Linked DNA regions of Elephas maximus indicus. The protein of the gene in region 1 interacts with the protein of each later gene in a pairwise test. Links are inferred from orthologs where the notes say so. Each region holds a gene or a part of one and is shown in the gene's direction. Other genes may lie near its edges. The genes, in order: BAD and YWHAH.

What was found.
Region 2: the proteins of BAD (region 1) and YWHAH interact in binary tests that used the Homo sapiens proteins (3 or more experiments, as listed by UniProt). The link is inferred for Elephas maximus indicus from reciprocal best matches to the Homo sapiens genes BAD and YWHAH.

The regions. Positions count from the first base shown.
Region 1 is NC_064825.1:127,462,931-127,477,389, reverse strand, and holds the start of BAD (bcl2-associated agonist of cell death), read left to right. Parts: upstream 1-8,757; 5' UTR 8,758-8,771; intron 8,772-8,864; exon of another isoform or gene 8,865-8,955; intron 8,956-9,219; 5' UTR 9,220-9,227; coding exon 9,228-9,414; intron 9,415-14,459. Other genes in the region: KCNK4 (potassium channel subfamily K member 4), read right to left, coding at 780-968; integral membrane protein GPR137, read right to left, coding at 4,343-4,502, 4,755-4,873, 5,012-5,140, 5,250-5,399, 5,536-5,761, 6,552-6,601, 6,691-7,062, 8,680-8,757. UniProt on the Homo sapiens protein: Promotes cell death. Successfully competes for the binding to Bcl-X(L), Bcl-2 and Bcl-W, thereby affecting the level of heterodimerization of these proteins with BAX. Can reverse the death repressor activity of Bcl-X(L), but not that of Bcl-2.
Region 2 is NC_064840.1:24,247,889-24,262,572, reverse strand, and holds the start of YWHAH (14-3-3 protein eta), read left to right. Parts: upstream 1-8,697; 5' UTR 8,698-8,925; coding exon 8,926-9,012; intron 9,013-14,684. UniProt on the Homo sapiens protein: Adapter protein implicated in the regulation of a large spectrum of both general and specialized signaling pathways. Binds to a large number of partners, usually by recognition of a phosphoserine or phosphothreonine motif.

The DNA.
Region 1 (14,459 bases):
ATATCACAGAAGGCCGAAGCCTAGAACTTTCTTTAGCCACTGGATTGAGGTTGATCAGGAGTGTTCCAAGGAAGCCTGAAGCTGCCCCCCATCCCTGCCTTGGCCTCCCTCCCACCTCCCCATGGTAAACATGTGTCCTGGAGGAAAAGGAGTGCTTAAGCTGGCAGCCATGGTGGCATGGGAGTGCTTTAGGGCATCCTGGAACTCTCTGGAATCATCTGTACATGTTTAATATGGGCACTTTCCTGGGGGTGAGGGGAGCATTCACAATGTTCCCCACCAGCTTCTCTGAGGGATCTGTGACTCCCAAAATGTGTCAGAACTAATGTAGCATTGCCAAGTTTAGCAAATAAAAATATTGCCTGGGACATACTTACACTAAAAAGGTATTTCTTATTTATCTGAAATTCAAGTTGAACTGCCCATCTAGATTTTATCTTGCCACCCTAACCCTAAACGAGTGAGTGACACCTGTGAAAATGGAACATACCCTACGTGCTACAGCCATTTATTCCTACTTTCCCTCCTTCATTCAATCACCATCACACACGGAAGGAGATGTTCTGGGACAACGGCACTGTGCCAGGTACCATAAGGAAAACAAATGACCCATAGCCTCCATATTGAGAAACAGAGGCCTGGATCAGAGTCTCTGTCCCCACCCCACCCCAGCTGCCCCCTGCCCCCCCCCACCCCCGAGCATTAGTCTGGAAGCAGCATATCTCAGCACAGGACCCCCCTGGCATGGGTGACCAATGAAGGGGCTCTCGCCCACCCACCTTGATGAAGTGCCCCAGCTCCTGGTCGCTCACACATGGATGGGCCCTCAGGAACTTCTCTCGGACCTCCCCCAGCTCCCTCTGGGCCTGCTGCTCGTGGGGCTGCTCCAGAGCCTGGAACACCAGGGCACCCGACACCAAGTACAGCAGGACCAGGGCCAGCAGTGCCAGCAGCGTTGTGCTGCGCATGGCGCGGCCAGGGGTCCGGCCAATTCCACTCCCCGCCTGGGGGGGCCGGGCAGGGGACTCCTGGGGAGCTGTGGTCACTGTGGGCAGAACGAGGGATGCTGGGATCAATAGCCTGGCCTGACACCCTTACCCCCTACCTGTCTCTCCCCTACACACTCTAAGGTCCTTGGAGTCCCCGGCCCTACTGCCCATGGATGCCGCCTCCTCACATCCCCTGGCTGGACGCTTGGTGCCAAGGTCCACCAAGTACTCACTGCACAGACTGTCGTCGGCCCATCCCTTACCTCCACTGCCCGGCCCTCAGCCCCTGTCCAGGTACTCAGGGGGTGAGCAGACAAGAGGGCACCGGGAGGGAAAGGAAGGCAATCGAAAGGAAACAGAGACAGAGCGTGCGAAGGGATAGCTGGGGGCATGGAGTGGGCGTGGAAAACCACTAGGTCCGGGCCGTTGAGGCAGAGGCAGAGGGGTGCGGAGGCGCGCGAAGGCGAAGCCCACAGAAAGGCCAGCCCGCGCAGGGCGGGGACCAGGGATGGCAGGTCCCGGTTCGCTGGCTGCGGCTGAGGCAGCATTTTCGCCGCTTCTCTCTCCTCTCCTGCCTCTCCCAGCTCTGCAGGAGCTGCGCCGGGTCGGCCCCCCTTGCGCCCCGCCGGGCTTTCGAGGAACCCAGGGGCGGGTCCCGCCGCTGCGCAGAGAGGGAGGGCGCCGGGTTCCCAGAAGGAGCGGCGGGGGCGGGAAGGGCTGGACCGGCGCAGCAGCCCACAGACACCGTCAGCCCCCGGGCCGGCGGGCGCAGGCGCCCACGAGCACCCGCGCAGGACACGCTCCACCGCCCGCGGGCACAAAGCCCCGCGCGCCCCCGCTCCGTCCTGTGGCTCCAGCGTGCGCCGCCGCCCCGCTGCTTGCACGCCCTCCACTTGCACACGCCCGCACTCTCCCGGACAACCCCAGACCCCATGCGGTGCGCGCTGCGCGGAGGCGCCCCGAGGTCCGCGCACACGTGTGCACACTCGCGCGCGCACACACACCAGACCGCGGGCCACCGCGCAGCACGCGCCGGCCCAGATACGCCGCACCGCTCTCTCTCGCCTCTCCGCGCGCCCACGCCCACGCCTCCAAGCGTGACGGGCAGCGTGGGACCACTCCCGACGGCGCCCCGCACGGTGGTGGGCGCCCCGCCCTGCCCCGCCCGCCTGACCCTCCGCACTCACTGTCTGCAACGCTGCGGCTGCTGCTGCGGCCCGGCTCCCGCACCGCCTCGCCGGTGCCGGCTGGGCCGCGGAGGCGGCGGCTGCAGGGGCGGAGCGGGCGGCCGCCGGGGCTGAGACCCCCTCCCGCTGCCGGGAGCCCCCCCCCCCGCTTAACCCCTCCTGCGCCGCGCCGTCCTCGGTGCCGCTCCCTCGCCGCCGGCGCTGCCCCAGCAGCCCTTTACCTGCGGCCGCCGGCCTTCCAATCCAGCCCTGCCTGGAGCGGCGGATCGCAGAAGAGTCGGAGAGGGCGCGCCGCTGGATCCAGCCTCGAGTCTCGGACTGGAGCCCTGGTGCTGTCCCGCCGGCCGGCTGGTCCCCGGTTGAACATCAGTGGGCCCACTTCTCCGGACCGGCGCCACGCTAGTCTCCGGGCCTCTCCAAGGCCCATTACTGGATCAGGATGGGCCCTTATCTCCCCGCCCCTGGGGACAGCTCGGTCTTTGGGCTCAGCACTCTGTTGAGGATGGCACCATAAGGGAGGGGGTCCCCGCGGGACCAAGGCTGGAGGATCCCTCAGAGGCCATCTGGGATTGGCTGGCGTGGGGGTTGGGACCCAGCTCTGGGAAGTCCCTGCTGCGGCACCCCCTGCACCTCCTCCTTGTCCCCCCCCCCACTTAGTGCTCAACTCTATGCCCAGGGGTCAGCCCCAGGGGTTTGGACCAGGAGCTGCCCCCCAGTCCCAACATGGACTAGTGCCAGCGCTCCCTCCCCCACTGCCTGCACAACCAGGGCCCCCTTCTGGTCCTGGAACGCTGCCCCTCCATGCTATCATCCCATCTCCAAAGACCCTCCTCTTTGGCTGCTTCCAGACCTCAGCCTTCTTGACGTGTTTCCAGCTCGGCTTTAGGGTTGACCAACCCCTCCCAGTAGGAAACCTGGACAGGTCACCTAATTCCAGAGCTTTTTCTTCCTCATCTACACAAGAGGGATGGTGAATGATCACCGAAGGTGCTGTTCTAAACATTAGAGGTTGGAGTGTGTAAATGCTCAAAACTGAGCCTGGCACACAATAAAGTAGCCTACAAATATTAGCTATGTCCTTTTCCACCACAAGTGGTTTTTGGTCAGTTGCCCTATCTGGCAGCCCTTTGGGCTTGATGCCAGGATAGTCCCAGGTGAAGGGTTGCCAGGGAAGCTTGGTGCTGGGCCCTAGGAGCTGGGGCAGTCAGGTATGTGGGCAGGAGAGAAACCCTCTAATAAAGGTTGCCAGCAGTGGGGCAGATCTATGTTAGGCTAACAGGCTGTGGGCACATGGGAAAAGAGGGCCTCAGGGGTGGGGGTGCCCTACCCACCAGGCGAAACTCACACCTTCCTAGAGGTGTAGGCTGCTCAGTCACCATGTCGACACCTCTGCAGGCCCTGGGCTAACCCCTGGCACCTGAAGGTCAGGTTGGGGGTGGTAACAGGGAAACAGGCTCCAAAATCCCAAATGATAGGGACCAAGAAGCATAATAATCACATAATCACAGGGATACAGGGCCCAGGAGAGGGGCCACTGTTCTGTGAGCAAGGGATGGAAAGCTTCATAAAGGAAGTGACATTTAGAACAGATCCTGATAAAAGAGTAGAAATTATTCAAGTGGGGAGGGGACTGCAGCATGAATGGGGTTTTTCTGGGCCGAGAGAGCTTTGAAAACAAAGGGCTGAATGGTCTCCCTTGCCCCTCCCTCAAACAGCAGGCTCCTCCTCACCCTGCCCACCCACCTCAGTAAGTGGCCCCAGCCCAGGCTAATGGCTGCCTTCAAGGACCAGTGTCTAATCAGCATGAGGTCAAGGCAGGAAGCTGACCAAAACGGTGGCGATGAGGGAGGAAGATGAAGCAGACAAATGAACACTGGGCACAGACACTGTTTATCGAGTGGCAGATGCAGGAGAGGTAGCTGGCTCTGGTGTGGAAGCAAAGATGGCAGGTCATGCCAGGGTGCTGTGGGCATCTGGCAGCCAGGGCCATGTCCCCCACCCTAGGGGGTGGCACAAGCTCACTACAACAGGAGCAGCCGAAGAGCCGGCCAGGGAAGGAGGCGGCTACAGCCCCTAGGATCCTGGGCAAGAAGCAGCAAATGAACTTGACTCAGGGGCCTGAGGGGGAGGGGAACTGGGGTCTGGGCATCCTAGAAGGGTGGGGGATCACGTCTGGGGGGTAGAGTAGAGGCTGTGGTGATGGCCGCCTGGTCCCGGCACCTGGGAGAAGAGCAGAGGAGTAGTCCGCGTCTGGCTGCCCCCGCACCAGCTCGGCTCCCGCCCGATGGAGCCGTACCAGCTGCCGGAGCCTAGGCTGCCTGACATGCTGTGGGTAGAGAAACCAGGTCAGTCCCAGGGCAGTGACCAGGACCACGTTCACAAGAGGTGGGAGAGGGAAAAAGGCTTAGAACAGAGCATGGTGGGAGGGGCTCCCCTCCCCAGACTCTGCCCAACTGCATCTTTGGGTGGAGTAGGGGGAGATGGGAAGGAGGGGGCCTCACCTCATACTGACAAGGAAACAAAAACCTTGGGGGAGGGCCATGGCTCAGGGGGCCTGAGGCAGGGTAGGGACTCCTACCTGGTGCTCTCACCCCGGCTGTGCTCCCAGGAACAGCCCTCATCTTCACAGTGCCCAGCCCGGTCGAAGAAGTAGGATCGGGAGCCAAAGACTTGCCCGTTGAGGATGCGGCTGGTGCTCTGGGGAGGGGAAAAAGCCACCATGGATGCCTTCTCTTGGCCCCCACCAAGCTCCCTTACCACCCCCCAGCCCAGCCCAAGGGTTCCCAGCATCCACCCTTCTCCACTGGGCCCGCAGAGGAAGGTGGAGGCACTCACCAGGTCCTGTGGGGGCCGGTGCACTCGGAAGAAGCCCACCAGCAGGGTGGTGGGCAACAGCTCCCACACAAAGAGGATGAGGCCAAATACCAAGTAGCCTTTGTTCCCCAGGTCATTCACCAGGTCCGCCTAGGGGAAGGCAGGGATTCACGCCAATCTGCGTTTGTGCCAATGGGGCACTGGGACAGGGACCAGGAGCCATGGCTATTAGGAGGCAGCAGACCTGCTGAACGCCCACCTGGTCAGAGACGTTGTACCAGTCATAATCGAAGGCGTCCAGCCGGCTCCGGGGGGCCAAGGCCAGGGCTGCCAAGTTGTAACAGGCCCGGCTGGCATAGAGCAGGACCATGGCACCACCCATTGCAGCTGCCTGGCACACACTGGTCCCCTGCCACAGATAACAACGGTGACCATCAGGAAGGAGTGGATTCCAGCCTCCTTTCTATCCTGAAGGCTGCTGTCCAACAAACATGGCTGCCCAGACACCCCAAAGGACACCCAGGCATTAGAGCCTGTGGCCCTACCTTGGCCTCCAGGTAGATGCTGGTGGAAGGGGCCCGCCGGGCCACAAGGCAGAGGCAGGCAGCAAGAGAGAGTGCGCAGATGACGAAGAGGGAGTCGCTCACCAGGATGCGCACCAGGAGTAGTGCCCAGGGCTGTGCCCGGCGCCGGCGGGATAGCACAGCACACAGCACGTTCACCAGCAGAAAGAGCAGCGAGGCCCCCACGAAGGCCCCTCGGACGGCCAGCCTGCAGCCCACAGCACAGTCAGCCCAGAAGGTTGAACTTGGTGCTCACCACTCACCTAACCTCCCAAAGGAGCCCCCAGAGCCGATCAGAACCACAGATCTTTCAACCTGAACCCTGCTCCTCTAGTTTTACAGATGGGAAACTGAGGTCCAAAGAAGTCAGGCGGTAGCTGACGGCTGTGATACAGTGGAAAGAGCCTGAGACTGGGAGTCAAAAATCTGGGTCTGAGTCCTGGCTTTGCCTCCTGCCAGCTCTGTGACCTTGAACATGTTCCTTTACCTTGCTGGACCTCAGTTCTTTCATCTTTCACATATGGATAATATCAGGTTAGTTATAAAGATTAACAGTGTTTGTAAAAGCTCTTTATAAAACTGTAAAACTTTATGTAAATAACAGCGGGACCATAGGCCCATGTCACCCAGGGTGCAGTTTGGTTTCGGAGCATCCTCTGTCATGGATGACATTGGTACCCTCACCCCTCGCAGTATCGCTACTGCTTCTATTATTGTTGTTTTTCACATACGCAACGCCTCTGCTAAGCCATCTGTGCCAGGTACTTTAACTTTTCCAATGGGAATGGCACAGGATCTGGCAGTGTTTCCTTCTGTTGTGCGTGGGGTCACCATAAGCGGGGGCCACCTAGACAGCAGTTAACAACAACAACAACCTCATTCACAAACATTCCCTGGGTTGCCCTTGCCTCAGCCCTTTGAGGTAGGAAAGGATGGACACTGGGCTGCTCCCTGCCCCTGGCCTGGAGGCAGAGCTCATCAGGGCCCCAAGTACTTACAAGCCTCTACTCATTTCCGGACGACGCTTTGCCTTGGCCTTGAACACCACCTGGGTGCAGAAATGCCCATCACTCATTATGGCCCTTGGCGCTTGACACCCCCCACCAGCCCCCATCCACTACCCACTACCACGGTTACCTGGGCAAAGTAGAGATTCATTAGCGTCAGCGTGAAGAACTGCAGGCAGACAGGGCAGCAGTAGAGAAGCCAAAAGGGCAGGGGCCCCAGGCGGTTGGCTCGAGGGGTGTCTCGGAAGTAGAAGGAGAAGAGGGTGGTACGCAGCGCAGCCCAGAGCAAACAGAGTGCCAGGAACACCGTCTGGTAGCTGAGCCGCTTGTGCCCGTACAGGAGCACCAGCCAGAGCTGGGCATAGACGGAGAAGAAGAGCAGGGCATACAGGGTGGTGTAGGCGGCGGTCAGCCCCAGGGTCACGGCGGGTGGCAGCGCAGGCACCAGCCCAGCAGCAGGCACCAGGCCAGACAGGTTACTCTCCATATCAGGGAGGGAGGCCTGAATCCCGGAGAAGACAGAGATGGACGGGCTGGCCAGTGCCCAGGGAAATAAATACGGAGGGGAGGGGACTGCGGGTGGGTGCTGAGACAGAGGTAGGGAGCTCAGGGGGCAAGGCGTTGTGGCTGGCCAGGTCCTTCCCCTCACCAGAGGGATTCTCGTCTTTGCGGGGCACAGGCAGCCTGGGCCCCGGCCCCGTCACTCAGGGGCGTGAAAGGACAGCCTCTCCTCTCCAGGGTAGATGGGGGTCTCCTCCCTGGGCCACCCCAGAGCCAGGTGGATAGGTGCAGAGGCTGTAGGAGAGGGATCCCCGGCCTTGTGCTGACTCGTGCCGGTGTCAGCAGGAGGGGGAGAGCCGGCGATGCGCGTCCGCTCAGGGTATCGGCCCCTGCAGGGGGCGCCCCAAAGCCCCGCTCTCCCCCTCCTCAGGCTAGGAGGGTTCTTTCCCCTCCAACAATCCGAATGGGGGCGCCTCTGCCTTCTCTCCTCGGGATTCCGCACGCTCCTCCACCCCACCCCCCACCGCGTCTCCTCTCCAGCCGCGGGGGGCTGGTGGAGACCGCCGTCTGGTCCTCAGACCGCCGCTGGGGGAGCCGGCTCCGGTCGCCGGGACCCGGGGCTCCGGCTCCCCGGCTCCCGCTGCTCCGCCCCCTTCTGCGCCTGCGCGGGCGCCGTTCGCTACGCAAATTGCGCAGGGGCAGACCTCGGCTCCGCAGCCCCGCGCCGCGCCCGGCGTGGGGCCGTTCGAGAATTGGCGCGAGGTGCGCCGTCAGCGGGCTCCAGGGGTTACGAGAGGCGGCGGGCGGCCTAGACGCCGGAGCCGCGCCCCATTCCACTAGCGCTCGGGTGGGCCGTGGCCTGGACCACTGGCCTTTGCTGGTTTGGGGCCCATCAGCTCCCATCCTTCTCCTCTCTATGCCCAAACCCGGATCGTGTCCCCGGCGGGGGGCGGCAACGATTTCTCGTCACCTCGCCTGTGAAGGGAACTTCCGCCCATAGCCAAGATGGCCTCCGGGTCTGCCTCCCTTCCCCCCCGACTCCGCGGGTCTTAAACCGCTGGACCCCGGAGCCCCCGCTGGGCAGCCAGCCCCAAGAACTGGCCCGCCGCGGTGATGCCCGCTCACCTGGCCGGCCGCCTGCATGCTGCCTGCCAGGGGCGAAACCGTCGCGAGTACTATGGGTCACCCTCACAGGGGTCCCTGCGCCTTCTCTGCGCCCCGGGCAGTCATCCGGCCAGGGTGGAGGCTCCCTCTCTTATCTCGGATGCTCCAGAGATGGCGCGGGGAGTGGTGCCCTGTTGCGGGCGGCATGGTTTCCACGGCGCGGTTCCCACGCTAGGGAAGAGGACGGAGTGGGACTTGCCGACCCCATCACCCCTCCAGAACCGTAACAACAGCAAGTCATTGCATCCGACTTCTGACTGTCAACTGCGACTTTGCAAAGTGCTTTCAGCCACAGTAATCACCACTCTGTTTACAAAGTTTTCACTGGCTCCGGAGGGAGGTGTCATTATCCCCATTTTACAGGGGTGGAAACTAAGCCCCGGAGGGGCTGAAGGGCTTATCAGCAGAAACGAGTCTCCAGGCTCCAAATGGAGGCCCCCAGAGAATCCCTCACCGGCTTCCACACACGCCCAAGGCGTGAGGATGTCGGGAGCTGAACATCCGGAGAAGAAGAAGGGACGCAGGAGATCATCGGGCGGGCTGCAGGTTGGGCGGTGGGGCGGGGCCGGTATAGAGTGGGCCCGCCTCCTGTCCAGCCCGAGTGACATTTCACGAGTTGATTGGGCCAGGCCGGTGACAGTTCCCGTTGCCCAAGCAACTAGGGCAGGGCGCCCTCAGTACTGGAGGGAGACGGCAGGCCCGGGTCAGGGGCCTCGAGATCGGGCTTGGGGTGAGACCTGTGTGCGGTCATCCCAGGAGAGACGGCCTGGGTGGGGGTCTGGGGCTGCCCTACAGCACCAGTGCTCCAAGGGAAGATTTAGGTCCCAGCTGGACAGGCTGAGCACCCGGCAGAGCCAGACTGGGCAGACAGATGAGTCTGGGAGGCAGGCGGGCTCTAGGGGCAGAGAGTGAGCCAGGGACGTCTCTGCTGTACCCCCACAGGTTCCCGTTTGCTCCGGCTGTGCCCTAACCACCCACCATCTTGCCCCCACAGCCCAGAGTATGTTCCAGATCCCAGAGTTTGAGCAGAGTGACCGGGAAGACTCCACCCCTGCAGACAGGGCCCTGGGCCCCAGCCCCGAAGGGTACTGGCCTTCAGGCCCCAGCGACCGCCACCGTGTGGCCCCAGGCTTCCTGCGGGACGCCAGTCACCAGCAGGGGCAGCCGACCAGCAGCGGCCACCTTGGAGGTAGGAACCCCCTAATATCACCTCCTGCCCAGTAGCTCTCTGCACCCCAGCCACATACATGCTTACTGGCTGGCTTTGGGTGAGTCTATAACCTCTCTAAGCTTCAGGTTCCTTTTCTGTAAATAAAGCAATGAATCACATCACTATTGTAGGGTTTTCGGGGCAATTAGTAGCAATATATAGGAAGCACTTTGTCATAGTGTTGGCACATCGGAGATGCTCCAAAAAACGTAGCTGTTGTTGTAGGGCCAGGACAGAAATCACTGAGGAGCAGGCAGAGAGCAAGAAAGGGGAAGTGACTTGACTAAGGTCATGCTTGAGGTACCTTTGGTAGGAGGCAGGGGTGGAAGGCTCCTTGGTGGCCTGTCCAGGCTACATCCTGCCGTAGGCTACCTGCTTACCCTAGGACTGAGCTATTTTTGCACAGTTGCTGGGGCAGGTTACCTGAAGTGGCAGACAGTCCTCCCAGGCAGTGGCCATGTAGGGGGTGGTGTGGGAAGTTGCTGGAAAGAGCTGTCTACTCTCCAGCACAGGCTATTGGTTGCCCTTCCCACCTACTCAGGCCCAGCCCGGATGGAAGGACGTTGGCGGGCAGTGGCCATTTGTCTATAGTCTTCACGTGCCTGGTGCCTGGGACGGGCCTTGGCACCTGAGACAGTTACAGAGACCTTCTGAAAACACACACCAGACCATGTCGCTTACCCACCGAAGCTTATATAACTCCCATTTTCTTCAGGAACAGGAAGGCCTGGGTGGCCTCCCCTCCCTCTTTCCTGCACACTCTGTCCTGTCAGGCTGAATTGCAGAGGATCCTCAAGCAGCTTTTTCTGCTCTCAGCTGTTTCCACACCCAACCTGGCTCTTCCTACCCCTCCTTTGGGCTCCCTCATCGTTCTCTTCCTCCACTTATTGAGTACTTAGTAGGAGACCCTGGGTGGTGCAAACGGTTAAGCACTTGACTACTAGCTGAAAGGTTGGTGATTCGAACCCACCCAGAGGCACTGAAAAGACCCGCCTGGCCGTCTGCTTCTGAAAGATCGCAGCCTTAAAACCCTACGGAGCAGTTCTACTCCGACATACATGGGTTCACCATGAGTGGGAATCAACTGGAAGGCGAATAACAACACGTACCCACCCCTCCTTGGGACCCCCTCAGTGTTCTCTTCCTCCTTTTATCAGGTCCCACGTGTTGTCCCCGTTTCTAGGGGCACATCAGTGACTAAAAACCCGTTGCCATCAACTCGATTCTGATTCTTAGCGACCCTACAGGACAAAATAGAACTGCCCCACAGGGTTTCCAAGACTGTAAATCTTTACAGAAGCAAACTGCCACATCTTTCTCCCTTGGAGTGGCTGGTGGGTTCGAACTGCCAACCTTTTGGTTAGCAGCCCAGTCCTTAACCACTGCGCCACCAGGACTCCTTCATCAGTGACCACAGAGATGAAAATTTTGCCCTTGTGGAGCTTACATTCTAGTGGGGTTGGAGAGACAGGCCATAAACAAACAAGCAGACAGGGAAATGCTATAATGTCTGGGAAGATAATGTGTGCTTGGGAGAGGGGCGTGTATGCAAACAGAGTCAGGTGAGTCCTGAGGACTGGCCATGGGATTTTAACTGAGATGCCAGGGTCAGGGTCAGCCTTGGTAAGAAGCAACATTTGAGCAAAACCTTGAAGGGGATATGGGTGAGCCACACAAGTGTCTGTGGGAAGAGAGTACCAGGCAGAGGGAATAGCATATGCAAAGTCCCGTAGGCAAGTCGTGGTCCAGGCTAGTGAGGCCGGAGAGGAGAAAGAAGGTACAGGGGAGAATAGTTGAGATGCCATCAGAGTTAATGAGGGGGACAGGTGGCCTGGGCAGGGCCTCGAAGGCCATTGTAAGGGCTGTGGCGTATACTCTGAAAAGAAACAGTAGAGAGCTGAGAGCAGAGGGGACTTGGTCAGGTTTGCTGAGTGCCTGGGGCCACAATGTTGAGACTGGTCTGTAATGGGCAAAGCAGAAGCGGAGGCCAGAGGGGAGGCTGTTGCGGGACGCCAGTCACCAGCAGAGGCAGCCGACCAGCAGCGGCCACCTTGGAGGTAGGAACCCCCTAAGATCACCGCCTGCCCAGTAGCTCTCTGCACCCCAGCCACATACATGCTTACTGGCTGGCTTTGGGTGAGTCTATAACCTCTCTGAGCCTCAGGTTTCTCTTCTGTAAATAAAGCAAGAGAAGATGGTGACTTGGGCCAGGGAGGTGGCAGTGGAGGTGGTGAGAAGGAGCTGGATTGATTGTGAAGGTGGGGCTGTCAGGACTTGCTGAGAGACGAATAGAAAGAGCTGAGTCAAGGAGGTCTCCAAGGAGCTTCACCTGCGCAACCAGAAGGATGGATGGAGTTTCCTTTAACCAAGACGGAGCCTTGGGGTGGGGGGCAGATAGGGAGCCCATTTTGGGCCATGTGAGGTTAGAGGTGCCCGTTAGTCCTCCAAGTGGGGGTTTCCAGCGGAGGAAAGGCCCTGGCAGCATTTATAAATGAAGAGTGGTCGGCCTTTCAGTGTACGTAGGCCCAGGAACCTGGAGGCGAGCATCTGGAGAGGACGGAGGGCTGGGCTGCGTTCTAGCCTTAAGTGCAAGAGGAGGAGAAACCACAAGGGAGACTGAGAAGGAGCGGGCAGTGAGGTGGACAGGAAACCAAGAGAGGGGTGTGCGCCAGCCACTGCATGGTGGTGAATGCCGGGTGGGCGATGAACTGAGTGGGACGCTTGGGGCGGGGGTCGGCCCACTCCTCAGTAAGGGCTGAGAGTTGGCGATGGAGGCCACACCTGGGGCCATTTGATGGGGGAGGGGCTCTGACAGCTGTGGGTAGAAATCCTGGGAAGAGAAGAACTGCAGACGGGAGAACCCACTCTTGACAGCTGTGCTCCCACAAAGAGCAGCAGAGGATGGGGTGGCAGCTGAAGGCAGGACAGTCAAGAGAGGGTTGGTTTTTAAGATCCAAGAAGAAGATACCAGGTTTCTAGGCTACTGGGACCCATCCAGGGGAGAGGGGTCCACTCCACGGTGCAGGGGTGTTGCAGGACAGTGGGCCGGCATGGCACCTGAGGAGGGGGCTGGTGAGGCAACTTCTCTGTTAGAGGCAGGAGGCAGCAGCTCTGGGAGGGGCAGAGTGGATGTAGATGCAGCCTGGGAACTGGGAGAAGTTTCTCTTCCATGTAAGGAAGCCCGGAGTGGGGATAGGGAGGAGGGGTGGGGCTGTGGGGAGATAGGAGCAGGTTTGAAACTTGGGAGCAGTGGTGGGCAATGTGGAGGGTGCAACTGGGCTTTGTGGCCGAGAATTTAAAGTGAGAGCAGGCGGCGTGGCTGCGCTCTCAGTGGGAACTTGCAGGGGAGCGGAGTTAAAAAGGCTGTTTGTCCCAGCAAGGGGTTGAGGGTGTGTGCAAGGAAGGGACAAGAACTGGCTGACCATAGCGGGCAAGCCCCTGGGGAGTCACAGCAGCGGTGTCGTTGGAGCCAAGCACCAGAGGGGGAGAACTGGACAGGTAGGTGGCGGTCAGTGGGCTGCTGTTATTGGCAGTGATGATGTTACAGGGCAGGGCTTCCCAGCTCCCAGCTCGGGACTAAGCCCTGCTTAGGTTCTTACCTTCTTCTGACCACAAATGGCCAGGAGAGGCTCAGAGGTTCCACACGAACAAAAGTTTGCTAGGGACAGGGTAGAAGGCTCGCGAGGGAGAGAGGGAGAGGGCTTTCCACCTATGCTAGCTTCCAGTCTCTCACTGGACAGAGGATTCCCTAGGGCTTATAAAATTTTGTGGAGGGGGGGATGGGAGGAATGCATTATCTTTATTTGTTAGATGGGTGGAGATTTCGATGAGAAGGAGAGGGATTATGAAAATCAAATGGGTGCTCAGTTAGAATTCAAAATGGACTTCCTCACAGAGGTTGCTGGAACCAAGATGGAGTCTGTCACAAAGGCTGCCGGGAGGTCAAACAGGACTTATTCTGGGATGTTGTGCATGCGTGATGCCTCTGGATCTTGGTTTGAGCCCCGGCGAGGGGTCCCTGTTCATGTTTGTCTCACGTGGAAGGTCACTTATAGTCCATGTTGATCTTTACTGCGCGTGCTCTGCAGCTGGTGATGCCTTGAAAAACAACTCGGGAGGATTATCAGTAATTGATAGCTGGTCAAGCACACAGGGCCTTGAAATGTAGCCCCTTATCTTGTCTAAGCACCTAGTTTGTTAATCACAAGTAGTTTTCGGGTGCCAGGAGCAAAAGTTGTACGGTGGTCTGCACTTAGGTTTAGATTCAGAGACTAATTATAGCTGGTCAAGCACACAGGGCCTTGAAATGTAGCCTTTATTTCATTCAGCCAGCCCAATCTCTTCTCAGTGAGGTCTGGGTTATACCCATGGGGATGAGAGTCTGGGGGCCAAGATGATGGGGGAAGGAGGGCACAAGGCTAGGAGGTGGGAAGAATTGCTTACGGGTACATTGAAACACCTGTGGATCAATAAGGACCAGCGGAGTGATGCAGAAAGTGGGAGTGACATTGGGCAGAAAGGTGGGCTGTGACCTGCAGGTGGAGGACACGGGGGGCATGGAGGGGAAGGGGTGACACAGACGGAGAACCATCTGAAATAGCAATGAAGGGCCAGGGGACTTCCCCAGCTCCAGACCTAGCCTACGGACAGCTGCGGGGGAGAAAACTGCCACCATCTCAGAGGGCTACACAGGATGCTTTTGATGTACTTTTCAATGTCTTAGTGATTTCCCATAAAAAATCCCATAAGTGCCAATGACCTGCCAGAGCCATGTGGTCACTGCCCCCTCTCAGCTCACACTTGGTGGTATCTCTTCACATTTCCTGTCTGGCCTCTGTGCCCCAAGGGCAGTGACTGGACCGCCTTGTGCGCTTTTATAACTCTAGTGCACAGCCCAGTGCCTGAAATGGGCTGGGTGCGTGGCAAGCCCCTGTGGGTGCATGGGTGGCGAAGGGAAGTGTTGTGTCGGATTTTAGAAACCTTAGAAAATTAATACTCAGGTTTGCCACGCATAAACTCCAGTT
Region 2 (14,684 bases), on another chromosome or scaffold:
CTCCGAGAGAATGGCCCCCGGACATCCTTAGAGCTCAGTAATGAAGCCAAACCTGAGGTTCACCCTTCAGTCAAAGATTAGACAGGCCCATAAAACAAAACGAGACTATAGGGGCACAACAGCCCAAGGGCAAGGACTAGAAGGCAGGAGGGGACAGGAAAGCTGGTAACAGGGAGCTCAAGGCCGAGAAGGGAGAGTGTTGAGATGTCATGGGGTTGTTAACCAATGTCATAAAACAATGCGTGTGCTAAATGTTTAATGAGAAATTGCTCTGTAAACCTTCATCTAAGTAAACACTGTAAACCTTCATCTAAGTACGATGGAAAAAAAAAAAAAAAAAGAGGCAGGAAAGGTAGGAAAGGGCATTCTAGTTAGAGGAACCTCAGGAGCAGCATCTAGGAACATGGTGAGCTTAGGATGTCCAGGGAGTGGGTGATGTGCTTGGAGAGGTAGGCTAGAGTCAGACTAGGAAGAGCCAAGTGAAGGGTTTTGGACCTCTTAAGGGGAAGGGGTCCTGCCTAGGACCATAGGGGTAGCTCAGCGTTGTGTCTGCAGAGACCAGCCCATGGAGTGAGCCTCTGCCTGGATTGGTAAGCCTGCCAATGCAGTCTGGAAGGAGACGGAGGCTGTAACAATCTGTTCGCCTCCTAAGTAACACACTGGGAAGGAAAAGATGTTTTATAGCAAAATTGCCTGGCAGTGAACCTTGGTGAAAACTCAGCAACCCTCTCCCTTACTTCCCAGGGTAAGGTTTACGCAGCAGGTGATGAGCGCTACAGTTACGTTCACAGCTCAACAACCAAAAGATCAGGGGCAGCAGCAGAGAGAATGGTGGAGGTGGAGCCCGAAGGCCTGCTTCCAGGTCCTGGCTCCTCCTCCTTGGTCCTGGCTCCTGCTCCTTGGTCCTGGCTCCTGCTCCTTGGTCCTGGCTCCTCCTCCTTGGTCCTGGCTCCTCCTCCTTGCCCTCTGCCGCATTTGGGCAAGTCGCTTAATGTCTTTGGAGCTTGGTTTCCTCATCTGTAAGACCAGAGCAATAACACCAAACCTCACCTAAACCAAGTGAGAGTACACTGGTAAAACTGCTGCCCATGTTTGGGCATGGAATAGGAGAACTGCCTTTCTTCAATTCCATGTATTGACAGCATCCAAACACTTGTCCTTTGAAACACCCCTGTTCTATCCTCTTGCATTGTCATTGCCACCTGTTACGGATTGAACTGTGTCCCCTCAAAATATATGTTGAAGTCTTGACCCCTGTTCCTGTGGATGTTACCTTGTTTGGAAACAGAGTCCTTTTTCAAAAATATTATCAGTGAAGCTAACAAGGTCATAACTGCAGGGGAGGTCCTAATGCCTTCTGAGAGTGCCTTGTAAAAGGGCAGAATAGACACAGAGACATAGTCACAGACAGGGGGAAGAGGCCACGTGGAGACACATCTCCAGGTAGCAACGGAACATCAAGGATTGCCGGCAGAAATCAGAAGCTAGATGAAAAGCACGGAGGTGATTCTTCTCTCAAAACCCTGGGAAGGAACTGACATGGCAGATACCCTGATTTGGACTTCTAGCCTCTAGAACTCTAAGACAATGAATGTCTGTTCTTTAAAGCCACCCACTTTGTGGTGCTTGTTACTACAGCCTAGAAAACTAAGACACCATTACTTGCTGAACTTTCAATGGTGAAACGCCCTAGACTATCAGAGCTGCCACATGCCAGTATGGGCTGCCATTTTATTTTGGCAAAATTTGCATAACAAAATTCACCATTTTAACAATTTCAAAGTGCACAATCTGATGTGGCATTTAGTATATTCACAGTGCCCTGCAACCATCATCTAGCTCCAGGATATTTTTATCACCATTCTTTCCGCTGCTGCCCCCATTAGCAGTCGCTCCCTAGTTCTCTCTCCGCCCCTGGCAGCCACCAATCTGCTTTCTGTGTCTATGGATCTGCCTATTCTGAATGTCTCATATAAATGGAATCATCCAGACCTTTTGTGTCTGACTTCTTTCACCGAGCATAATGTTTTCAAGGTACACTCGCATCGTAGCCTGTATCAATACTTGACTGATTCCTTTTGATGGCTGAGTGAGATTTGATTGTATGGATATACCACATTTTGTTTATCCGTTTATCACCTGGTAGACATCTGGGTTGTTTCCACTTTTTGGCTATTGTGAGTAATGCTACTATTTGTTTAAATTGCTTGGTCATATGGTTACTCTATGTTTAACTTATTGAGGAACTGCCAAACTGTTTTCTGCAGCTTCCCATTTTACAGATAAGAAATCCAAGGCTCAGAGCGCAGAAGTAATGAGTCCAAGGGCCCTCAGCTATGGTTACAAGCAGAGGCGAGTACATGCAGGTAGGGGGGATCAAGGGACTCTCTAATCCTGACCCCCAGTTTTTCCAGACCGCAGCAGCCCCTCCTTGCCTAGGCCCACCCAGAGGGAACCAAGCAGAAGCTTGAGGCAATTATCCAGATGGTTTAAGCCAAAGGATCTAGAAATTTCTGGCCAAGAAGCACAAGTTACCCAGCCAGCTACAGAACTGAAGCAAAAGCCTTTTCCTCTCTCATTTTAACTGTGATTTCATAAGTGACAGCTTTGTCTTTCCCCCAGAGCCAGGCTCCTCTGAACATGCTTTAGGGGGGCGGGTGGTGAGAATGGGGCTCTGAGCTCCACCAGCTCACAGATTGCAGCTCCCAGGACATTTTCACACTTCTTAATGCCAAAAGCTGCCTTAAGAGCCAATCTGCTCCCCAAGTGCGCTTTGGAAGAGTGGTGGAAGGCTCTGGGTCAATCCAGAAATCTGTGTGCTCAGGCTGATCTTAGACACAGGGGTGGAATTTGATATCAGCAAAAGGACCCAGGGCCAAGGCGAAGGAGCAGAAAATGGCGTGAGCTGGAGGAGGCCCTGTGACTGCCTCGACCATAGAGCAAGAATCTGGCCTCTCTTGGCTTAGCTTCCCCATCCATAAAATGGGGATAACCAACCACCCCCCAGGGTTGGAGGATTTAGTGAGATAATATATGTAAGTGATTAATAAATAAGAGCTGCAGTTAGCATTATCATATTGGCTTCGGATCAGCAAGGTCACGCTGGCAGCAGGCGGCCTGCGTTTGGAAAAAAACACGAAAAGTTAAAATCCTATCTGGGTGACACAGATCTGTGGGCAGGTGACCCCTCCTGCTCAAGATGGTAACCATGCCAACAGTGTAAATACCATCTCCTTGGAACAAAAGGGTCCTCTCTGTAATATGCTCCTTGTTGTCCAGGCTCCTCAAGGAGTTCAGAGCAGCCCAGAGTATTGAAGAAAAAGAAAAACAGACGTGCCTTTTCTGGGTCACCTATTCTCTGGGCTCCAGCTGAGGGTTCTGGCAATGCTTTAGAAATCTAGTCGAGTGCAAGGAGCATCATCACTGGCTTACAGAGTGGTACACAGCCAGGAATTACCATGTGCTGCTCAGGCAGACATAGTACAGACATGCTCTTGCTGATTCTTACAAGCACCCTAGGAAGCAAGTGTGGCTAGACCCATTTTCTGGGGAGAAAACATAATCACAGAGGACAAGTGCCTTGCCTAAGGTTACTCTGGTAAGTGGCAGAGCAGCTCTAGAACCAGATTCTTTTCCCCCATCACACCACACACAGTTCTCAGGAAGCCAGGGGGGTGGGGTCTGTTCCTTGAGTGATACACTATGCCAGGTGAAGATGCAAACCTGGACCCTGCTATGGGACCTGCTCTGGCCCCCTAAGGAAGGAACACATTATGTTTAACATTAACCATTGGCCTCCTTCACTTCGCTCAGGAGCTCTCTTTGGAGTTGTTCCAAGGAGATAATTGTTGATCAAAACTTGCCGGTAGCTTCTGTTGGGTCGGCCTCTGACTCATAGCAACCCTGTGCACAATGGAACAAAATGCTACGTCCTGCGCCACCCCCATATAGACCGCAGATCAGACTGTTGTGATCCATAGGGTTTTCAGTGGGTGATTTTCAGAAGTAGATGACCAGCCTTTCTTCCTAGTCTATGTTAATCTGGAAGGTCCACTGAAACCTGTTCAGCATCATAGCAATATGTAAGCCTCACTGACAGACAGGTGATGGCTGTGCACGAGGTGCACTGGCTGGGAATGAAACCTGGTATCCTGCTTGGAAGGCGAGAGTCCTGGGAACGCGTGCCCTGTCCAAGGTGGTTGTTGTAATCTTTGTTTGTGAGGTTTTGAGGAGTTGGCAGGTCCCTGGGCGGCAAAAACAGTTTGCACTAGACTACTAACCTGAATGTTGGGCAGTTCAAATACACCCAGTGGTGCCACAAAAGAAAGGCCTGGCGATCTGCTTCTGGAAAGATTACAGCCAAGAAAACCTGATGGAGCAGTTCTACTCTGTAACACATGGGGTCGCCGTGAGTTCGAATCAACTTGATGGCAATAGGATTGGGTTTTTTTTTTTTTTTTTTGGTGCGCGGTAGTTGGTAGCTCTCTCTCCGGCGCAAAAGGAGATGGATGCTGGTAAGTGTACAGGCTAAAAGGTTGGAAGTTGTGTGTGCGTTTCACAATGTGAATGACTTTGAAAAAGGAGTCACGTCTGAGCTTGTCTCAGCGAAGACCAGGGCAGCATGGGGCCATCAGGCTTGAGAGTCTGAATCTGGGGGCCCGAGTTTGAATTGTAGGTCTGCTGATGACCAGTTGTATGACTTCGTTCAAGTCACGGAACATCTCTGTGCCCATTCCCTCACCTGTAAAACAGAAATGGAAATTGTACCTACCTTACAAAATTTTTTTTTTTTTTTACAGGGGGAGCCTGAGGAAAAACTATGACCATCCGTGGTGCTTGCAACATGGTAGATGTCTCCTTCCTCCCAACAGTGAGGGTGGACAAGGTCATACAGGAGGGGGCAGAGTGAGAAGATGGCCTGGGACAGAGCCCTGAGGAACCCTGCATTTCAGGGTAGGCCTAGAAGACGAGTCCACACACAAGACGAAAGGCGTGGCCAGAGGAATGGAGGGGAAACCAGAGTGTAGGGTCATGAAGTCAAGTGGAGAGTTTTAAGGAGGGGTGGCAGGGGCAGATTACCCAATAAGCAAGATAGGCACAAGCTTAGCCATGCTGATTTACTAATATACAGTGCACAATTTCACCTGGTAACTGGCAAGACAGGTGAAATTGTTCACTTCAGATTAGTAGGTAAACACAATTAAGCCGTGCTACCTTGCTTACTGTATACGGTGCATACAGTGCCCTGGTTAATCCACCCCTGGGTGAGAGCTGTGTCCAAGAGGACCAGGAGGTGAAGAGTACCCAGTGTCCTTGTATTTGGCAACAAGAAGGCCACACATGGCCTCGAAGAGGGCCATCTAGCTGGAGGAGTGGGGACAGAGCCAGAGCACAGTGGGCTGAGCAGCGGGTGGCAGGTGAGGAAGTGGAGAAAGGGAAGTTTGGTGAGCAGCAAAGAAAGGCTTCCTGGAAGAACTCATCATTTATGAACCTAGCCAAAATCAATTTAGAATGCTCCAGCTCTGTATTTCACTGTTTTGGATTCAATCTCAGCCCAACATGATCAGAAAAGCAAAGCCTCTAGGACTAGAAGTAGTTGTGGGGGTCCCCCCAACCAGCCCTGGACCCTTCTCCACCTCCCACTGGAACCCCATCCTTGTGGGGGTGGAGGAGAGGATTAATTATTATCTAGCATTTTGTTTAGCATGCTCTTTAAAGATATTCACTAGGGGGAGGATCAGCCTGGTTTGTTAACCTTGATTCCATTTCTAGTCAGCAAAGGTGATTCTACGAAGCGCAGTTAAGCCTAGATGGGGCGTCCTGGACCCACAGCGAAATCCTGTTCCATGGGTGCCGATGTCCTCATTTTAGTATTCCAAAGGGGAGAAGAAGGTCCGGGAGGCAGGAAACCAGGTATGTGCAAATGGGGATGGCCGCTCCTCTCCCTAAGTCCTCAGTTTCCCTTTATGCAAGAAAAAAGGATAGATAGGTTTTTTTTCCTTAAGGGCCCTGCTTGCTCTGACATTCCAGGGTGCAGATTTCTATTCCAGTCCTTTCAATAGTCCAAGTCCAGTTTTCCAGATGGCAAAGCTGAGGTCCAGAAGACACCCAATCTTCAGGCCCTGCCTTTTCACCCCTCTAATATGTATCTTACTCTCCAGAGCCAGACTCATGTCCTGAACTATGACTTTCACCACCTCCAAAAAAAAAAAAAAACCAAACCAAACCTACTGCTTTAGAGTTGATTCCGACTCATGGAAACCCCTCGTGTTACAGAGTAGAACTGCTCCATAAGGTTTTCTTGGCTGTAATCCTTATGAAAGCAGATCACCAGGCCTTTCTTCCGTGGCACCAAAACAAAACAAACCCATTGCCACTAAGTGGATTCCGACTCATAGCGACCCCACAGGACAGAGTAGAACTGCCCCATACGGTTTCCAAGAAGCGCCTGATGGATTCAAACTGCAGACGTTTTGGTTAGCAGGCCAACTTTTTTTTTTTTTTTTATTGTGCTTTAAGTGAAAGTTTACAAATCAAGTCAGTTTCTCACACAAAAACTTATATACACCTTGCTACATACTCCCAATTACTCTCCCCCTAATGAGACAGCCTGCTCTCTCCCTCCACTCTTTTCGTGTCCATTTCGCCAGCTTCTAACCCCCTCTACCCTCCAGGCAGGACATGCCAACATAGTCTCAAGTGTCCACCTGATCCAAGAAGCTCACTCCTCGCCAGCATCCCTCTCCAACCCATTGTCCAGTCCAATACATGTCTGAAGAGTTGGCTTCGGAAATGGTTCCTCTCCTGGGCCAACAGAAGGCCTGGGGGCCATGACCACCGGGGTCCTTCCAGTATCAGACCATTAAGTATGGTCTTTTAATGAGAATTTGGGGTCTGCATCCCATTCCTCTCCTGCTCCCTCAGGGGTTCTCTGTTGTGTTCCCTGTCAGGGCAGTCATCTGTTGCAGCTGGGCACCATCTAGTTCTTCTGGTCTCAAGATGATGTAGCCTCTGGTTCATGTGGTCCTTTCTGTCTCTTGGGCTCGTAATTACCTTGTGTCCTTGGTGTTCTTCATTCTCCTTCGATCCAGGTGGGTTGAGACCAGTTGATGCATCTTAGATGGCTGCTTGCTAGAGTTTAAGACCCAGATGAGCAGGCAAACTCTTAACCACTACATCAACAGGGTTTCCTCTGTGGCACCACTGGGTGGATTTGAACTTTCAGTCTTTAGGTCAGTAGTGGAGCACCAACCATTTGCACCACCCAGGGATCTTTCACCACCTCAAAACCAAAACATATTGCTGTGGAGTTGATTCCAACTCATACTCATCCTATAGGATAGAGCTGAGCTGCCCCATGGGGTTTCCAAGACTGTCATCTTTACAGGAACAGACTGCCACATCTTTCTCTCATAGAGGGGCTGGTGGGTTCAAACCTTTTGGTTAGCAGCCCGGCTCTTAACCACTGCACCTAAGAATAAAACCTCAAATACTCAGTCTGGCATTTAAAATACTCAGTAATCTCGCCCCACCTAACCTCATCTCCCACTGCCAGGTCTCACTTCTCACCCTCAAATTCTGTTCCTATCTTCACTGCGAAGCCTTTGTCCAGGCTACATCCCACTCCCTAATAATACATTTTTCCTGACTCATTTTCTTCAAGTCCAGCTTACCTGTTCTTGAGTATTTAGACCTCAGCTTCTCAGGGGCAAGGGCTGAATCTTAACTCAGTAGCTTCCTATCCTCACTGCTGAACATGCAGTAGGTGCTCAATAAAATTCTCAAGAGAGTCCACCGCCCCCTCTCCTGGCTAGAGTCGGCAACTTGTAAGTTGGGGCGGTGTTTAGTCCTAGTGATTTTCTTAGCTTGGCTAGCGCCCAGGCAGGGCGTGAGGGACCTTCAGCCCTCAATTGCCAGGGCTGGGAGGGGCTTACTGACTAGCCTGCCAATCCGCCGCCCTCTTCCCCTGCAAGGAGTCCAGGCTGAATTTGAACCCAGATCCTGACCCCGCCACTTAACAGGCTGTGTAACCCTCAGCAAGTCACTAGTCTCACTCTGCTTCAGGTTCCACATTTGGAAGGTGGGAACACCAGCTGGCTCACTCTCGAGCTGGGTTGTGGTGATCAACTAGAATGCCGGTACAGGCCCAGCACTGGGCGGGCTCCTAGGAAGTGTGCTGTGACTGTCCTCTTGTGGAAGGCACTGCCTGCAGCCCAGGGAAGTGTGGACCTGATCCTGCCAGGCCAGTGCAAACCAGACTGCAGGGTGTGGCCCGCGAAGCCGCTGGCCAGGCTGGGCTCCGGTCAGGCGGGACGCAGGGGCCGGCCGGCCCGGCCCGCCCTGGGCCCATGGCCTCCAGCTTCTCCACGCAGTGGCTTTCCCTTCTGGATTCTTCTCAAGTCAGACAGCTAATGCGGCTTCAGCGGCGCTTTTCCGGATGGGGCTGCGACATCCCGCTGCCTGTGCAGCCACCATCACCGCGCCCCTCCCTGGGCTCCGCAGCGTTCCAGCGCCGCTCTCGACTCCCACCTCCACCTCTGCGGCAGTAAAATGCAGCACTCGCAGAGCGCCTGCGCGGCTCCGGGGCGGGGCGGCGGCGGCGGCTATTTATAGTAGGTGACGTCACCTTGAAATAGACCGTTAGAGCCGGCCCGCCTTCCCCCATCTCCACTCCCGCCTCTCCGCGCCACCCCTCCGGGCAGCTCCCACTGCGCAGGCGTCCTTCCGCCCCCCCACCTCAACGCACCGCCTCTCTCCCTTGGCGGCGTCCGCGGCGGAGCCACAACGCGCAGGGCGAGCCAGTGAGCGGAGGAAAGCGGTGCTGCCTGCAGCCTCGGGCCGGCCGGACCCAGTGCGCGTGCGCAGCGGCTTCCGCGGCGACCAGCAGCAGCGGGCGAGAGAGCGAGCGGGCTAAGGCGCGACGACATGGGGGACCGGGAGCAGCTGCTGCAGCGGGCGCGGCTGGCCGAGCAGGCGGAGCGCTACGACGACATGGCCTCCGCCATGAAGGCGGTGAGCGCGGCAGGGGCCCGGGCGGCCGGCGGAGGCCCAGCAAGGGAAGGAATGGGCGGCCGGCAGGGTCTGCCCTAGGACCTGGGCGCCCCCGCAGGGCGCGGCCGCCCGCCCGCCCGCAGCCTGCGCTTCCCGCGCACGCCGGGCGCCCCGCCATTTCCTGCGGCCGGCCCCAGAGTGGGATCTGTGGGCAGGGAGCCGCTCACGGTCGCCAGTGCTGCCCCACGGGGACGGGCGGCGGAACCCTCTTTGGGGGCGGTGGGTGGGGTGTCGCCGCATCCCAGCTAGGAGCCCTGGGGAAGGGCAGGGGGTGCCCGAGGGAACGTGAGGGAGCCACGTTCCTCCTTCCAGATCGTTGTTTCGGCACCTGGGGGCCCAGCCCCTCTCACCGTCCCCCACCCCACCTTGTAGAACCCTCGAGCGCGTGGAGCCGTGTCTGCTGCTTTTCTCTGCGAGACCTGCAGTCGGGGTATTCCGATCTGCCTGGCTCTGCTCGCCCGAGTTGTTCTCGTTCCACCTTCCCACGCTCGACTCGGGCTTTGTGTGCGGAGACCCCTTCCTCCAGCCGCGGCGGAGGGCGGGCCGGGGCCCATTCTGGCTGTGGCCCGGGTTCGATGCGGCGCCCATCTGCCTGGACATTAAAATGAGCGTGATTTCTAGATAAGACGAACCTGTGTGCCTTTCCTTTCCCGAGACCCTCGTAGATTGAGTCTGCAGCTTCACCGTCTGCAGCTTCATTTCCGGTGAAGGAGTCGTGCCAGCCACACCCTAGCAAACGCTGTGGATTAGACACGACCTGCGTTTCTGAGATTTAGAGTTCCGCTTGTTTTCTCCTATCCCTGTCTTCTCACAGTATTTTACATTTTGTCTAAACGAACATTACTTCTCTCTGCCTCAAGGTCATGCGGTGGTGGACCTACAACTGGAGCCACCAACCTGTGTTTCTTCGTCCAGTGTACAACCTCCTTAGACCTGGAAGGGTCCCCTTGGCCCCACCTTAGTCCTAAAGATTCAGAAATTCAAGGGAGTGGGATTTAAAATCTGCATTTTAACCAGTTCCTCTGGCCAGTTTTTAGTGAATTTAAATGTGAGAGTTAATGCCGTGGATTATAGCTCATTTGCTCTTTGCCCTTTCACTGGCCTTGTGAAGGGATTTATTAAAGAAAAACTCAAACCCAGAGGTTCCCTGAAATTTCAGATTCTTTTGAAATGCTCATTTAAAAAAGGCTTTTGGTATTAACATATAATATGTGGTTGAGGCCAATTTTTAGGATTATCCAGGTAAAAAAGGTGCTTGAAGACATTTCCTGTGGTGGTCTTATTATACATTTAACTAATTGTGTTTGGAAAGCAACTACAGGCCCCTTTGTGCATTCATTGGTGATCTTGACTTGAGCACTGTAGTGTGTGGTTGTCAGATAGGAGCTTTTCATCCAAACCAGGGCAGGATCTTAGTTTGGGGTCTGAAGTTTATGTAATTTTGGGGATCCTCTTTAAGAAAACACAAGTATAAAAATATATTAACGTTGCAAATTTTACAGAAACAGGACTGATTGTGTGAACACGTTTCCTTGGAAGGGGCCCTGAATCGTTGTTTTCTCTGGAATAAAATCACCTCTGTGCATACAGCAAGTCACACCTTAAGTGAGCCTGTTCTCCCCTGGTACTGGAGTGGTACTGGGATCATGCAGGCTGAGGCCTTTCTATAGCACATTTTTGTGAGGTATTTTGCTCACCAAGGCTGCAGTCTGAGGAGGCCTTTGAGGAATAAGGATGCTGAAAGTAGGGCTAGGGTGTGAAGGAAGGTGAATTGAAGTTGAGAAAAAATGGCTAGAGGATACATTCTGGAGCTAAAGGAAATGCGAGGCAACTTGAATGGGAAGTAAGAAGAGAGAGAATGGGAAGGGATTACCAGAATGAAATTTGGGCAGAGAAAAAAAAAAATTGGCTTTCTGGTCTTCATAAACAGGCTTAGAAAATACTATCCTGCAGCTAGCTACTTCATCCACAGATTTTTCTCTGAGGCTTTAAAATAGCATTTTACAAGCTACTGTACCCTTCATTTTGCTGGAAATCTCTAATATCTATATCTGAAATGATTGGTGGGTCGGGCAAAGCAGCAGCATTGACCGTTCATTCCAAGTTTTAATTATATTATCTCAAAATTGTGATAAACCATTTTCTCAAGGAAATTCCTAGTTAAAAATATGAACTTTTTTGTCTGTTTCATTTATTTAAAACATTTTTATTTCTCATCTAAATTAATGGGATGTATTTGTTGGAAAGAACTTGGCAGGGGTCAGTGGGAAAGAGTTTATGTTTTACCTATTAAGTTGGCATTTGTAGATTGAATTCTTCATAAATGTTTTTGGGAAGGTACAGCCCCTGTTTTATTAACATTATAGGCCTTAAATAGAGCTTTTGGAAAGAATTTGAATTCTAGTAACCCTCTGGGCTTATGGGATTTTCTTCAGGATGGTGGATGGGCACATAGACTGCTGGGGAGGGGGTGATGTTCAGGCACCACCACTCTGCAAGGTCGAACCTTAACATCTTTGGCCTCAGTTTCTCTTAAAGCGTAAAAGTAGGAATGTTGGTGTTACTAACAAGTCAGCCTCCAGCCCCAGTCTTCTAACTTGTTTTCTATTTTCTTTGTAATTTAAGTGGTCGCCTACTAATAATGCCTGCTTGTAATGACTGATGTCCCTTATGCTTGCCAGTGTCACCTGGAGGAGGATATCATAAGCTTTAAGAAAAATCATGCATATTGGAAACAACGGTGTTACCTCAAATTGAGAACTTAAATGTCCTGCCTCACCCCATAATTTGAAGAGGCAAGAAATGTTTCTGAACTGAAGTAAAGGAATATCTTCAAGCTCTTCTCATCTCTCTAGTACTTTTATCATAGACATAGAAGTAATAGTGGGATGAAACATGGAAGATTCTAGAACCCGAGTACTTTTTAGGCGAGGCTTTGAATAACCATACACAATTCATAACCTCTGCAAAACTGATATAATAACATCTTATGAGAGCTGAAATAAAACTATAAAGTCAGATAGAAATATAGCTTGTAAGACTAAGGAAAGAAGGTAAATAACCAGGTAACTTTCTGGTAAATATTCATGGATGGAAATAATTCAGTCATATCTCTTATTGTTCTAAACTTTCTATTTTATATTAAAACTAATATAGATGGTAATTTTGTAGCTATGAAACATTATTTGAGAAAGCGTGGTATATTTTAACATGATACGGGTTAATTATATAAAGGACAGGGAGAAATATGGCTGAAAGACTTCAGGGATACCTGTAGAAATCTTAAGTGCAGGAAACAAAGCTGCAGCATAAGAAAACAGCAGTCAGAGAGGAAGAGGCACTTGGCCCAACTGGTGGCCCAAGGCTCTTATTCCAACAGCTGTGAGATTATTGGAATGAGCAGGTGGTATGTAAAAGGAGAGCTCGTGCTGGGCAGCCCAGGATGAGACGTGCTGCAGATAAAAAAACCAAGGGTGGTTTCGAGGTGCACCAAAATTGTGGTTAAAGCAGTGTTGCCACTAGAATTTGAAATACGTAGAAGCTAGTGAGCCCTGTTTCCCGTTAACTGGTCACTTGAAATGTAATTATCACTGTCATGTATCTGTGAGGATTCTGGCTTCTTGTAAGAGAATATTGCGTCTGAATGTTGGCTGCTAACTGAAAGGTTAGTGCTTTGGGTCCACCCACCAGGTCCCTGGGTGGTACAAACGATTAATGTGCTCGACTGCTAACTGAAAGGTTAGTGGATTGAGTCCACCCAGAGATGCCTTGGAAGAAAAGCCCAGGGGTCTGAAAAATCAGCCATTGAAAACCGTACGGAGCGCGGTTCTACTCTGACACACTGGGTTGCCAGGAGCTGGAATTGGCTGGATGGCAACTAGGAGTAAAGGCAGCAGACAGTTCACATAGCTTTGCTGTGCTGAAGTGGGGAGTGTGGGTTGGAGGTTCCTGAATTAGCCCCAAAAGAGCTCCACGGTCAGGGACCCCACCACACCTCTTTAAAGAAACCAAAAATGTGTTTCTCCTTTGGGATTTTACATTAGTGGTAAACTGCAGTGTCGTACTTTTCCAGAGATATGGTCTGGAAAGGGGGTATCCCCAATGTGTTTTCCATATTACAATTCACCAAGTTTATGGAATTTTCTTTATCGTTTTACTTACTAACCCACTGCCGTGGAGCCAATTCCGACTCATAGCGACCCTAAAGGACGGAGTAGAACTGCCCCATAAAGTTTCCAAGGGAGTGCCTGGTGGATTCAAACTGCCGACCTCTTGGTTAGCAGCCGTAGCACTTAACCATTACGCCACCAGTACTCGGTAAATGGTAGCAATTATTCCTTACGTATACAACTCCATATGGACACTGTTGTTAACTCCATGTTGTAAATGAGGATTAAAGAGATTAACTAACTTTCTCATAAACAGCTAATAAGTTGTGAAGCCAAGATTTAAACTCTTGAATTTAGAGTGCTCCATGAGGCTAAGGAATAATATTTCTAGTGTACATTCTGGTGTTTTTGCCATTGTTGTAATTGGTGGCCAAATTCTGAAAAGCGAGCTTATTAAATATTAAACTTAAATAATTTCATCAATTGGGTGTAAGTGATTTTTTGCCAAGGTCGATTAAAAACAGAATTTTCCACTTTTAGCTAGAGCAGAGAGGCATAAAAGACAAACTCACAAATCTGGCTTTTGCTTGTTCTCCTGAAGGCCGGAAGTTTTTTTTTTTAATTGCTTAAAAAGCAAAGTATTGAATTTGAGTCCCTGCTACGGACTCAGGAATGTAGGATTGCTAAATTATACTTGTGGTATTTTGAGAAATCCTTTAATATCTGTCTTGTCACCAGTTCTTCCATATTAGTGTATTTTATAAGCCTGTAGGGCCCCCACATTTCAATCTCCAGGTTGTTGGTAAATTCCTCCTGTGTCCCAGCTGAGGCAGCCTGTCTCCCCAGCGTTGTGCTCCTCCCAGTCCTTGCTGCGGTGTGGCATTTCCTTCTTTGGTGGTGGGTGTTGGCACTTCTCTGATAGGAACCTGGCACAGCTTCTGAGGACTTCAGCCCTGGTGCCTCCGGAACAGTAGCATGCAGTAATGCCATTCAGATGGCGTTGCATTTGATCCCTGTCAATCCGTACGAAAATGTCCAATTATGTCAAAAACAGGACAAAGACGTGAGAAAAGTTGTAGAACAACAACAAAAAATCAAATTCACAAAAAAGACCAGACTTACTGGTCTTAAAGATACTGTAGGAACCCCTTGAGACTGTGGGCCTAAGACACCCCTCTGAACTGGATCTGAAGCTGGTCCTGGAGTCCACCTTTCAGCCGAACTATGGACAGGTCAATAAAATAACACCTGAGAGGAACACGCTCCTTAGAACAACCAATTATATGAGAATGAAAGGGTGACATTTGCACAAAAGCAAAGATGAGAAGTCAGGAAGGGATAGAAAATCAGGACAAAAGGAAACGGACCTAGGATGGAAATGGGAAGAGTGCTGACGCATTGTGGGGAATGAAGCCAGTGTTACCGAACGCTGTATGTCAAACTTATCAAGTGGGAAGCTTAATTTGCTTTGTAAACTTTCATCTTTAATGCACAATAAAAACAAACAGGACAAAGGAAGTCTCC